Drosophila melanogaster: one gene and its partner. The protein of the gene in region 2 interacts with the protein of the main gene of each other region in a pairwise test. Each region holds a gene or a part of one and is shown on either strand. Other genes may lie near its edges.

Evidence for each region.
Region 1: the proteins of CG9853 (region 2) and Secp43 interact in a two-hybrid assay, tested with the Drosophila melanogaster proteins (one large-scale study listed by BioGRID).

What each region holds. Positions count from the first base shown.
Region 1 is NT_033779.5:4,451,676-4,456,759, forward strand, and holds Secp43 (tRNA selenocysteine associated protein), read right to left. Parts: upstream 2,779-5,084; 5' UTR 2,688-2,778; coding exon 2,652-2,687; intron 2,591-2,651; coding exon 1,616-2,590; 3' UTR 1,494-1,615; downstream 1-1,493. Other genes in the region: CG15439 (uncharacterized protein), read right to left, coding at 1-1,276; ND-B8 (NADH dehydrogenase (ubiquinone) B8 subunit), read left to right, coding at 3,054-3,151, 3,213-3,319, 3,381-3,463; Gs1l (GS1-like), read right to left, coding at 3,651-4,063, 4,439-4,657, 4,711-4,774.
Region 2 is NT_033777.3:4,397,547-4,405,056, forward strand, and holds CG9853 (uncharacterized protein), read right to left. Parts: upstream 4,482-7,510; 5' UTR 4,370-4,481; coding exon of another isoform or gene 4,055-4,369; intron 3,940-4,054; coding exon of another isoform or gene 3,808-3,939; intron 3,593-3,807; coding exon of another isoform or gene 3,032-3,592; exon of another isoform or gene 2,964-3,031; intron 2,645-2,963; 5' UTR 2,348-2,644; coding exon 2,196-2,347; intron 2,135-2,195; coding exon 1,900-2,134; intron 1,840-1,899; coding exon 1,207-1,839; 3' UTR 1,012-1,206; downstream 1-1,011. Other genes in the region: CG9855 (uncharacterized protein), read right to left, coding at 1-90; CG14647 (uncharacterized protein), read left to right, coding at 3,032-3,592, 3,808-3,939, 4,055-4,369; lost, read left to right, coding at 5,656-5,734, 6,923-7,093, 7,155-7,510.

The DNA of each region.
Region 1 (5,084 bases), on a different chromosome or scaffold from region 2:
CGCTGAATGCCGGCGCAATGTGCCACTTCTTCCGAATGTCCGTCAAGGCGTTAATGTGCGCCTCGCGCTGCTCCAGATGCTGCACATCCACTGACATAATCTCCGCCTTGGCCAACAGTCGACGACAGGCGGAGGCCGAGGTGGTGAGCAGGCGTGACATTTTCTGCGTTGGCACCCACGGCGTGGGCTTAAGCTCCTTGTGCCTGGTATACTTGTGTTGGATCTTGAGCAGCTTACGCTGAATGCGTGCTTGGGCTGGATTTGGGTGAGGGGCAGGTGTCTCATGTTCGGCAGCTAACGCCTCTTTTTCCCTCGCCCGTTGCATCATATTGAGCCGCAGTGTGTGGTAGTTGCGCCGTCGCTTCTTGATCATCTCCTTCTCCGAGTGCACCTTGCAGTGAGCGTAGAACGGATCGGCGGCATCGTCCTCGTGGTGCGCTTCGATAAGAAAGCCGGCCACCTGGGCGCAGGTCACGTGAAAATAAGTCTTGCACATGCCTGCATCACAACCAATGCAAACGCCCGTGCGAGCGAATAGAGCGTTCTCGCAAAGGGAACACACCTTGGCGCCCCACTTGCTGTACTGCATCTCGAAAAGCGTCACCGAGGACAGCTGCTCCACTTCGCCAAAGGCCACGCCGGGCACATACAGAGCGCAGATGAGGTGCACCCACTTGCCCACGTCGGTCTCCTTGTAGATGCCGCCCTTGTTGGGACACAGCTCGCAGTCCGGTTCCGAGACCCCAGCACGACAGGCCTCGCAGAACCACGGTTCCGTCGAGCAGGTGGAGTTGGTACTGGATATGCTCACGTTGTCGCTGACGCCATAGCATCCTTCGTGGACAGATACGCCGCAGGAGTCGCACTCCACGATCTCGTTGACGTCGTCGCTGCGTTCGCCCAGGCAGACGCAGCACATCCGCTTGGCCGGAGCACTAGACAGCTGAAGTGGCGCACGAGGCACTACTGGTGCTGCCGGGGAGGAAGCTGCGCAGTGGTCCACTCCATTGATCCCGTTCTCCAGTGGTGACGGTTCCGTTTCCGCCAACAGCTGCCGGAGCTGCAGTGTTGAATCCTCGCTCTCCGCATCCGAATCCGATTCAGAATCGGAGCCACCACTGGCGTCGCTGCTGCTACCGTCGCCATCGCTCTCGTCCTTCGATCCGTCCGAGCAGTTGTCGATGTCCGGCAGGAAGTCGCTATCCGAGGAACTCTCGCCCAAGTCAAAATCGAGCAGGGCCTGCGTAGTAATCTTCGGCTGCCGCGCTCGCTTCATGATTCAACGCTTATTTAGTCCGCAATTGTCTGCACAATCTCCGAAAGTCTCGGGCCAAGGCAGAAACTATCGACAGTCGATAGGCCGACATGGCGATGACACGGACAGAATAGTATTCCGTCTGTATATCGATAAAATACATCTGTTGTAAGGATATTAGGGATATTTTGTAAAAATGTATCCTTTATTTTGAATCCTTTGTTAAGAAATGTAGATTCAGGAGCATAAAAGTTTATAGCAGGCTCAAAAACAATAATACGCTACAAGTCAGGCTTTTATATTTTTTGCTTATATCTAAGCTGTAATTATAGTAAGCTATAAATATAGTAGATAAGTATCCTAAAAGACTTCCAGCTGCTCAATGGGCAGCCACTTAGAGCTCTCCAGAGCATCGTACAGACGGCGGTCGGCATCAATGGCCTCTCGGTTCAGTTTGTCCACATCCAGGACGAACTTGTGCTCCACCAGTCCGTTCTCATCCTCAGCTCCATTGGCGGCGGAAGCGGTCTGCTGCTGCTGCTGCTGCTCGTACTGGGCGCTGCGTTGTGCGCTCCAGGCCTCGGCGTGCTGGGCCAGAGTCTGCGGATTAGAGTGCGACTGCGACATGGCCTGCTGGTAGTATGCAGCCGCATCTGTGATCGAAGCACCGGCCTGCTCGTAGTAACCTTGCCAGGCCTGGTATCCCTGCCAATAGGTGCTGGTGGGGTCGTAGTACTGCGAGTAGTCGGTGCCACCTGCTGCAGTCATACCGCTTCCATATCCATAGTTTGTGTTGCCTTCGCCCACAGCACCACCCAACTCGGATTTGGGTTTGGGCACGGCATTGCAAATCTTTATGGGCTTGGTACCCAATCCGATGTACCCGTTCATGTCGTACAGCGCTGATTTCTGCTCATCCTCGATGCCAAATCGCACAAAGCCGTAACCCTTGGAAAACCCCAGGCTGTCCAAGATCACCTTGGCGGTTTTGATCGATGTGAACTTGCTGGAGAACACCTTGTACAGCTGATAGTCGTCCACGTCCGAGCTGAGGTCGCCCACCCAGACGCTAAATTCGCGTTCATTCCCGGGCAGCTTGTACGAGTTGCTGGCCGAGTTAAGACGGAATCGCACAATGGGATTGGTGCCCGGAATGGGCTTACCGTTTAGCTTGTGCATCGCGTCCAGCGCATGGTCATCGGATATGAAGTTGACGAAGCAGTAGCCGGCCGGTTCGCCCGTGTACTTGTTGCGCATCAGGCGCACCGTGGTGGGATCTTCGCCCATCTTCCGGAAAGCGGCGATTATGAAGTTCTCCGTCATGTAGGACTCCAGCTGAAATGGCCATGCGGGCTTAAAGGGTCATGTGTCTGGGGTAATGCACGTTGCTACTTACGCTTCCCATCCACAGTTGACAATGCACGGACGCCATAATTGTTCAAATACGTGTTCAATTGAATATTTTCCAGAGACAAATGATGTTTACCAAAACAAATGAGTGACTGGCCGTCAAGCATTTATCGGTATTTATCGATGTGGGCCAATCAAATGCTGACCTGGTGTCAGCCAAGACAATTGCCTTGGTTCTTGTCTTTGGAATGGATATTCAAACGATGCAACTAATGGTTCGCGTCTCTGGTGAGTTAGACGTTATTTTAGTTTGAGCCAAAAAGTAATTTGTTTTTAAAAAACAATAATACCAATATGTAATCCAAGACAGTTTGACAACCCTGCGTAGTACCGACATTTAAATAGACTTACTTCCTGAACATTTCAAAATCGCAAAAGTGGTGCCAAAATGGGTATTACTCTGTTCCGATTGGCCAGTTTTACTCCAAAACTGAAGGAGCTGCGAATCATTCTGGATCCCAAAGGAGACACTTCCAAGGGAGTCAGGTGAAATTGTCATTTTCCGCTTTTAAATTATATAATTTGCTAAAGCAGCGTTCCTTTACAGGGAATACGTGGAAAGGTTCTATCCAAACCTGAAGAAGAGCAATCCCGACCTGCCGATCCTCGTGCGCGAGTGCTCTGGCGTCCAGCCCCGCCTCTACGCCCGCTATGGTGAGTAGATTAGCATAATGTGCGCTGCTAGCTTCCCCCACATCGATTCCCATGTCCGCAGGCAACGGCAAGGAAGTGTCCCTCTCCCTGGCCAACCACGCTGCTCCTGACATACACAAAAACCTGGAAGCGGTTGGCAAATAGAACTTACGCTGGAAAACTATGTAGATTAGGCGCAAAATAAAGGCAAAGCCAGATGCTTTATGCACACATACGTATACGTGTATATGGGATAACATTTACACTTAAATTCATTTTCTTGGTAGGTACATCGATTTCCAATTACAGCAATAGCATCTTTTAGCTACAAAAAGTACGTCAGCCATTAAGTTCAATCCGTGAAGGCGGGCAGCCCGAACTGCTCCGGCTTGAAGTCCGCCAACGAGGCCAGCACTTGTGTGGCGTGCGAGGTCTTTTCCTGGGACAGTCGTGGGTCCGGCACCATCACCACCTGCATTCCGGCGCTGTTGGCAGCCGTCACGCCGTTCGGCGAGTCCTCGAACACCAGGCAGTCGGACGGTTTGGGCGGCACACCGAATCTGCCGGCGGCCACTAGGAAAATGTCGGGCGCAGGCTTGCCGTTGACCACCTCCTTGTCCGACGAACCGCACACCTTGTGGTTAAACAGGGAGAACAGCTCCCGATGTTGGGCCGTCTTCAGCTCGACCATGTCGGCGCCGGAGCTGGTGGCCAAGCAAAAGGGTACCTTGTTGGCGTGCAGGTGACGCAGCAGGCGCTCAGCACCTTGAACGGGGAAGGAAGCACACGATTAACAAACGGCTTTAATCACAGTAGGATAGTAATTGAAGCAGAAGTATTTATAGGGAGAAATGCCGATTAGTTTTCTGGTCGTGGTGCTAACCTTCCAGCAGGGGTACGTTGTGGAATCGCTCGTGGCACATTTGCGAGTACCGCTTGAGATAGTCTCCGGTTGTGATGGGCAGCTGGCACTCGGTGATGGCTATCTCTGCCGAGCGCTGGTCCGTGGTGCCCATTACCCGGAAACGCACTTCCTCCGGATACGGGCGGCCAAAGGAGGCGGCTATTTGCCGGGTGACCTCCTCGTATATCCTCTCCGTGTCTGAAACGTGACGGCAAAGCGAGAACTGGGATTAGTACCTGGCATCAACTGGGCGTTCCGCATCAGGATCTCGGTGTTGGCGCGCTGCTGGCGTGCGTACTCCTCCCACGACATCGGCAGCTCGTAGTGCTCGACCATGAACCGGGCCAGCGGTTCCGTCTGCAGGCCCATGACCTGCTCCTTGATCTCAAAGGGATATGTCTTGCCGTAGGGCTCGAGGATCATTTCGGTGGCCACAGTATAAAGGCGTTCGGTGTCTGTTCGGCAAATAGTTAACACAGAAAGCAGATACAAGCACGGCAGCACTCACCCAGCAGCAGACCGTCCATGTCGAAGACGCAGTGCGTCACCTTTCGCAGCACTTTGTTGGCCATCTCGCAGCAGTTCTCCTCACTCTGGGCTTCCGATTATGTAATGTTACAAAGTCAACAAGTTCGTTTCCTAACTGCAACACAGAGGTCATAATCAAGTTACTTTGTTTTTACTGGAACATCCCCCGCCCACACAGGCATGCCCTCCACTTTGACTACGTTTCCTGGATTCGGTGCCTCTTGTTCGGTCGTGTCCTTGACCCAAGGTCGCCGCACCCCATCACCAACAGCAAGGTCAAAGATGGAAGTTGCCCTCATCCCTACGGCCTTGACCTACACGTAATCTGCTTCCGCTTTTTGCAATATCGGGCGT
Region 2 (7,510 bases):
GTGATCCTCCACGGCTGGTATTGCAGGCGTCGCACAGTCCACAGATGGCGCCGCACAGTCCACAGAGGGCGCTGCAGCTTTGTCGGCCATTTCGCTGAAAGTATAACACAATGTCCTATGTTTATCGATGCACAGAGGCCCAACCTTAAGGTCCTGCTTACTTTGCTCTCACTCGGCTTTGTTGTGCGGTGATTGGCCTTTTCGGTTAAAGGTTGTGGCTTTAATTCTGAGCGTTTCTCAACTTTACTCTTATTTTGGGTGGTTCAACGAAAATAAAACTAACTAAATAAACCCAATCTGATTTATTCTACCAGGGCACTTTCAATGATTTTTCGGACGGACCAGATCTCAGATTGTATTTTCCAGGTCGACGCTAACTTACCCTTGTGCTGGTCACACTTATATCGCAACATAAATATTTTTTTGGGATTTCGTCGTATTATTTTTAAGCCGTCGATTCCAGAAGGACAAGTTAGATACATTGTATAATTTTTAAAAACGATTGACCTACTTACGAAATATTCACACGTATTCGAATTCTACTACCTAGTCCACTACTGACTTAAAATATACATAATTTAAATTTGGAAAAACAACTTTTCTGAATTCTTCCGCCAATACAGAATAACACAAAAACGGAGGGAAATGAGAACAAATTATACTACACCTAAATAAGGGATTCTGCTTTTATGTTACAAGCCGGGTTGATCCCGCATATTCAATGTCGACTTTCGATGCTGGTTATTTATTTTTGGAAATACAAATGTTATAAAATTATAAAACTTTTCAAATATTTCAATTAATTAATTTTTCTTTACAATTTTTTCCCATTTTAATTGCATCCTCGAAATGTCGACTATGGGATGTATCGCGATGTATTTTCACGTTGTGACGAAGCGCACCCGGATATTGTGCGTAGGAGGCAAGCACTACAAAAGCACAAAAATCCAATTACCAGTTCAAAAGATATTCCCAAAACAAGATTTTTGAGAACTTGTCATAGTGATTTTTGTTTGAATAACTATTTTTTTATAATTTGCATAATCAAGACCATACGCTTATTTAAAATTATTTAGCATACAGCAATTTAAAGTTATAACAAAATAGCCCGATGATTTTGTGGCAAAGAACTTCATTGACTTTGAGCAACCAAAAAGACCAGCAACAAAGGATCCCTCTTCGGTATGCTTCATTAATGCATACATGCTATTCCAGTTCGTTATTCTCGTTTTGCCGCCTCAGGGTCGTGTCATGATCGTCCGCATCATCTTCCTCAAAGCCCGCCATAAGGCGATTGAATATGTCACCAAACATTCCGCCCAACCCGGGCGGGCCAGAATGAGCAGCCTCCGGATGCTCGTCGAAATACAGCACCCCAATCTTGGCTACGTACTTTAGAAAAGACGTGTCGCGCTTTAGGGATGGATCGTAAAGCTTGCGTAAGGCCCGAAACCCAGCCACACGCTTCGCGTCAATAAGACGGAATAGGAAGTACAAGAAGTTGACCAGCGGTTCCTTATAGGGGAACTCATGCTTAAGCAGCTTGGCGTGGTAGCGTGTGTACTCAGTGAACGTGTCCTCTGCAGTTTTCCGATCCTTAAGGGATAGCTGCTGCAGCACAGCTTGTACCAGAAACAAGTCCATCTCGCCCTGGAAGCCCCTGCTCTGGCTGATTTCAATTAGCACTCGCCCACATAGGCTGCCATCCTGGCAGAGTAGATAGTGGTGACGAGCCGACTCAATGTTGCCCTCGGTCCAAAACACGTGCGCAATTAACTTATGGAGCACTGGGTGGCCATACTGGCCATGCAAGGCCGTGCTCCACTTAATGGTCCGTTGCTAAAGGAAAAAAAATTTCATTGCCGGTATAAGTCGCGTTTAATAATGTCAAAGACTCACAATAAGGGTTTCGCGCTCTACAGTCGCGGAGTTAAGGCCGCGGATCAAAGCCCCTAGGCGTGGAACCCACAGGAAGTTGTCGGTATCTTCCGCCTGTGGTCCTCGCTTCTCTAACGTGTCCACCAGAAGGAGACATAGGTCCGCGGCGCTGCTTTCCTGTTCCTTGGCAATAAGCTGCTGTGCTCCATCAAAGAGCAGTTCCAGGCAGTCCTGATAGCGTTTCTGCGCCGTATACCTAAGGAATCGAATTTCTTATTGGATTGCATTTCCTTGCACGGATTATACAAATAGTCTACCGAAAATACAGCGTCCTATACATCATGTGCGCTTCATAGAATTCTCCTCCTGCCAGAGACTGGGACAACTTGGCAAGTACTCGGCTGACACCGCGCTGTCCAGTGGACACCGCACTGCCGCTGGCTATTGGACCTGTCTCGGCGGCAGACATTTGGTTATTTGCGGGGTTTATTCGTACGCTTTCAGCGACCTTCTCAATTATGTGGAAGCCAATTTTTATAATTTATTTTGTATTTACATATACCAGCTTCCCGATGACAAACTATCGGTGTCGATTGCCAACTATAACACTCTTTGCACAGGCGCCCAATGTCAAAACAAAAATTGAGGGTTTACACTTCTAACCAATCAATTGGTAATTTAAAATGCATTCGTAAAACACCTTTTATGGTTTTAATAGTTTTCTGCTTGCAATGTCCAATGTCCACAAATATTTTTATTTTCACATCTGAAAATTGGTTCTTCATAATTCAATTCGCTTGTTATTTTATACCATCTTATATGAATATTAAATCATCGTTATATGAATATTAAATTTCAAATAATAATATGTTTTGTAGCTAATGGACAGTAATAAGATAAGACATATCCAGTTTTCTGATAATTGTTTATTTGAGCTATTTCTTCTCTTCGTTAAATTATTAATTTAAATTATTAGCTAAATTCACCAATATCTCATAATTCACACAACTATTAAATGTAACGCTGCTGCTGTTGCGGCCTCGTGTGAACAGCCCTAATCGACGACTTTAATGGAATGACGGGGGAAGAACGGGAAGATAAAGCAGCTGAGAATTGCCAGGCATTGTGGAAATTTTTTAAACTTCCCAATCAAATGAATAGTGATCTGAAGGAGAGTGGTTCCGGAGCCAGAAAAGACGACGCCGCACCGGCAGCCGGCGATTTCGTCGCCGCTAGCGGATTCGCTCCCAATCGTTGGGTCAAACTGAACGTGGGTGGACAAATCTACGCCACTACCATCGACACTCTGGTGGGCAGAGAACCGGATTCAATGCTTGCTAGGATGTTCCTGCAAAATGGCAGCATGAAGCCCAGCGAGCGTGACGAGCAGGGAGCATACCTGATTGATCGAAGTCCTCGATATTTCGAGCCGATCATCAACTACCTCCGCCACGGACAATTCGTATGCGATTCGAACATCAGTGTGTTGGGTGTTTTGGAGGAGGCGCGGTTCTTCGGAATCTTTTCGCTTGTCACCCATTTGGAGGAACGCCTGGGACAGCAGGAGACGCCGCTGGGGGACAGACCATTGACGCGCAACGACGTCATCAAGGCCATCATTCAGACCTCCGTGATAACGGAGCTGCGCTTTCAAGGCGTTAATCTGTCTGGGGCCGATCTACGAAAGCTAGATTTTCGCAACATTAACTTCAAGGTGTGCGCAAACGAATTTCATTTCAATGCATACATTGTGTAATACAACATTTTAAGTCTTTCCAACGCCGTAACACGACTGCATTTTAATATTATTGTAGTTTGCTACGCAGTAAAGGAGATATTTTCGTCCGGAAAAAAATGGAAAATTATTGGTGGAGATCTATCAAGTTGAAGACAATAATTATACTAAAGACTATCCCTTTTCCTTCACAGTATGCCAACATGTCTCACTGCAATTTGTCCCACACCAATCTTAACTACTGCTGTCTTGAACGGGCGGATCTTCAGTACGCAAACTTGGAATGTGCCCAACTAGTGTCAGTGCGGGGACTTTGCGCCAATATGGTAAGCACAGGTTTAACAGAAAACGCTATTAAATAATCACATCATTTGTGAAACTAGTTGTAACAGATTTACGCCATCCAATTAGCTAAGAAAACTAATCTGCCTAATCTTTCAGGAAGGTGCAAACTTGCGTGGGTGTAATTTTGAAGACCCAACAGGAGTTCGAACTAATCTAGAGGGTGTTAACCTCAAAGGAGCATGTTTGGAAAGCAGCAACATGGCCGGTGTTAACTTACGTGTGGCAAATTTGAAGAACGCCAATATGAAGAACTGTAATTTGCGAGCTGCGGTGTTAGCAGGTGCCGACTTGGAAAAATGCAATCTTTCTGGCAGCGACTTGCAGGAGGCAAATTTGCGTGGGGCAAATTTAAAGGACGCGGAGCTTACCCTAATGGTGACCCCATTGCACATGTCACAGGCCATACGATGATATCTTGGTTGGCACCTATCACTAATATTACTGTTATTGACTGTACATACTTAAAAGTTTAATAGTAGGTTATAAAATAAACAGTATTAGGATTGAATTTCTAAAGTCGTGTGTATTATTCTTATTCCTTACTCGTAGAGTAAAAAAGTATACTAGATTCGTACTAGAAAAGTATGTAACAGGCAGATAGCAGCGTTTCCGACTATATAAGGGATATATATTATATATAATCCGGATCAATAGCCGAGTCTATCCGTCTGTCCGTATAAACGTCGTGATCTCAGGAACTATAAAATCTAGAGGTTGGGATTAAGCATACAGATTTTAGAGACGCGGCTCACGTTTGTTGACCCATGCTGCCATGCCCATTCTAATGCCCACAAACCGCACAAAACTGTGACGCCCACACTTTTAAAAAATGTGTTGATATTGTTTCATAATTTAATTAGTCTTGAAATTTTCTATCGATTTGCCAAGAAACTTTTTACCACACCCATTCTAACGCCCTAAAAACGCATTCCCACTGGCTGAGTAACGGGTATCTGATAGTCGGGGAACTTGACTATAGCGTTCCCTCTTGTTTTTTTTAATGAAATTTCGCGTTCGCATTCACACTAGCTGAGTAACGGGTATCTGATAGTCGGGGATTTCGACTATAGCATTCCATCTTGTTTTTTTTGTTTATTACATAGTCTTAGTCGCATCACTAAAGATTCTTTTATATTTTTATATAAAACATTCCTTAGGGACCTTGCAGAAGAGTTACATTTAGAAAATCCTAAGCCGGGGCAGGAGCCTGTGTTAATTATAGTTTATCCTTCGATTCCTTTATCTACAAGAAACATAAATAAAGAAAATAATATAAAATTTATCTATTTTTAGTTTTTAATACCTTATTCGCAGTGATCACAGCTTACAATTTTACCGAACTATCTGGGTGGTACTCGATGTTTATTAAAATAATATATAACAATTGAAGCGAAAAAAGATGATGGACTTGCATGTAGATCTAATGTATATTGTCGGTGGCGTGTATAAGCTCAGATGTATAACTTTTATTATATTTTTAGCTAGAACCATCGCAAGCAACTCTATACGAAATGTATCGATGTATCGCATCGGCGATGTTTTTTTACGTCACCAGAGAAACGTCAATTTTCAAACGTGGTTTGTTGGAAGCCAGCGGAGAACGGTAGACGTTGCTTGTGAACTGTGAACTGTGTAGCCGTAGCCTGAGCCGGTAAAAAATTGTGAGCAGAACTAAAACACAATTGGCGAGCGATTCGATGGAGGACCAAAGCAACGCAGCCCCCGCTGTCGCCGCGGAGAACGGCGGAAACACCGCGCAGGAGGTGTCTTCGACAAGTAAGTGGCCTGCCCTACTACCCCGCCCGCTCGCCGACGAAAATTGCGTGTAATTCTCGCGAGTGCTGGTGATTCCATAAATGTTTTGCGCCGCGCCGCGCCTTGCTCGCTGGGCATCCAAAGTGAATACCCATGTTCCAGAGGGGCAGGTGCCCGATTCAGCCATTTTCTAGGTGCCAGTGTAGAAGCGGAAGATTGTCGAATTCCGCCATATTTATTTCTAGGAGACCCTAGCTGTAAATAAGAGTTGCCGAAACGCCGAAGTTGCTTGTTGTTGACACTAATTACGTCATCTTTGCGCGCATTCTTCCCACAATTACAAAAAGTGAAATGAATCATTTTCGGTGCTCTTGGCCGATTTCGATTTCGAGATTCTGTGCTCGCAGTGTCAATTCACCCGCTCGCTTGCGCCCCGCGCTGCCCGACACCACTACACGCTCGCGGCACTGCTCATACGAATACATATTAATTGAGAAATTCGCGAGTCGATGCGCTCATCGCCCAGAAATGTGTGCGTGCGAGTGTGTGCGTGTCGAAGCGTTGCCAACTTATTGGTCATGCGTTAATATCGGGATATGGGTTCTTAATTTGTATTTCTCATTGAACCCGCCAAGAAAGACGGCCGAAATAGTTTTAGCGGCCAATTCATACTTCAGTTTCAATTCAACAAGCGCACACACATGCATGTTGACGTGTGTTCTTTAACCAGCACAGGTGGCAACCCTGCCGTCCCGATTTTGCATGCAGATTTTTGTTTTCAATGATACGGGCCGGCGTTTGCTGGTGTATGTTTGGGTCACTTTCACATCTGATTACTGGGCGTGGAAACCGGTATATCAGCCGCGGTATCACTTTTAGTCCAGCGCCAACTAGCGTGATAACACGCGTTCATTACAGACGATAAGGGCAGCGGCTGTGTTGCTATTCAGCACATTTGATTCGCACTTTTACAGTCAACCTCCCCTAACAAAAACTAACATGTCCGAGAAGTTGGGGAATCGCTTGGGTCCGCACGTTATCATACCTACAGATCAGCTCTGGAATGGAATGTGGCTTGATTTAATGAAGGCTAGCTATCACTAACACAAATACAAATGAGCTCACCGCTGCAATAAACTAAAATATGTTTCTTTTAGTCATCTGTTTATGTTATTGGAGCATATTATTGTAACAAACATGTCGTTACAGCTCAGCCCATAGAGCCCACAAAGCGCTCGCTGCGCGTGCAGACCTGGAAAAAGATCCAAGAGGGCAAGGTTGGCATTGGATTCAACAACATATTTAACCGAATTCCTTCGTTCGTGGGTGCCGATAAGGCTGCTGCCTTGTTTGCCAATGAAGAGGAGTTCAAGAAAGCACGTAAGGGAGTACCACAGCCCCGTTTTCAGTGCACCAATTATCACTCTTTCCCGTATTGCAGAGCACATCAAGGTGAACATCGATCGCGTCTTGCATGAGTTTAAGGAACTGGCATTGCTGGCCGACAAGTCCGTATACTTGCCCAGCACCCGCGAATCTTCTGCACTGTGCCTAAAGGTAGATGTGCTGGCCGATGCCACCGAGGAGCAGAAAAAGGAGGCTCTGCGCGTTCAAGATATTCAAAAGTTTCGCTCGGAAATTGGATTGGACAGCGGTCTGAAGCTGGACATCGTGGTTATTGGCTCTGTTGTAGTGTCACGCGAGGGTTACCGCATTGGACGCGGAAATGGTTTCGCTGATCTGGACATCGGCCTCCTTATTGAACTGGGAGCCATTACACCGAAGACAATTATTGTC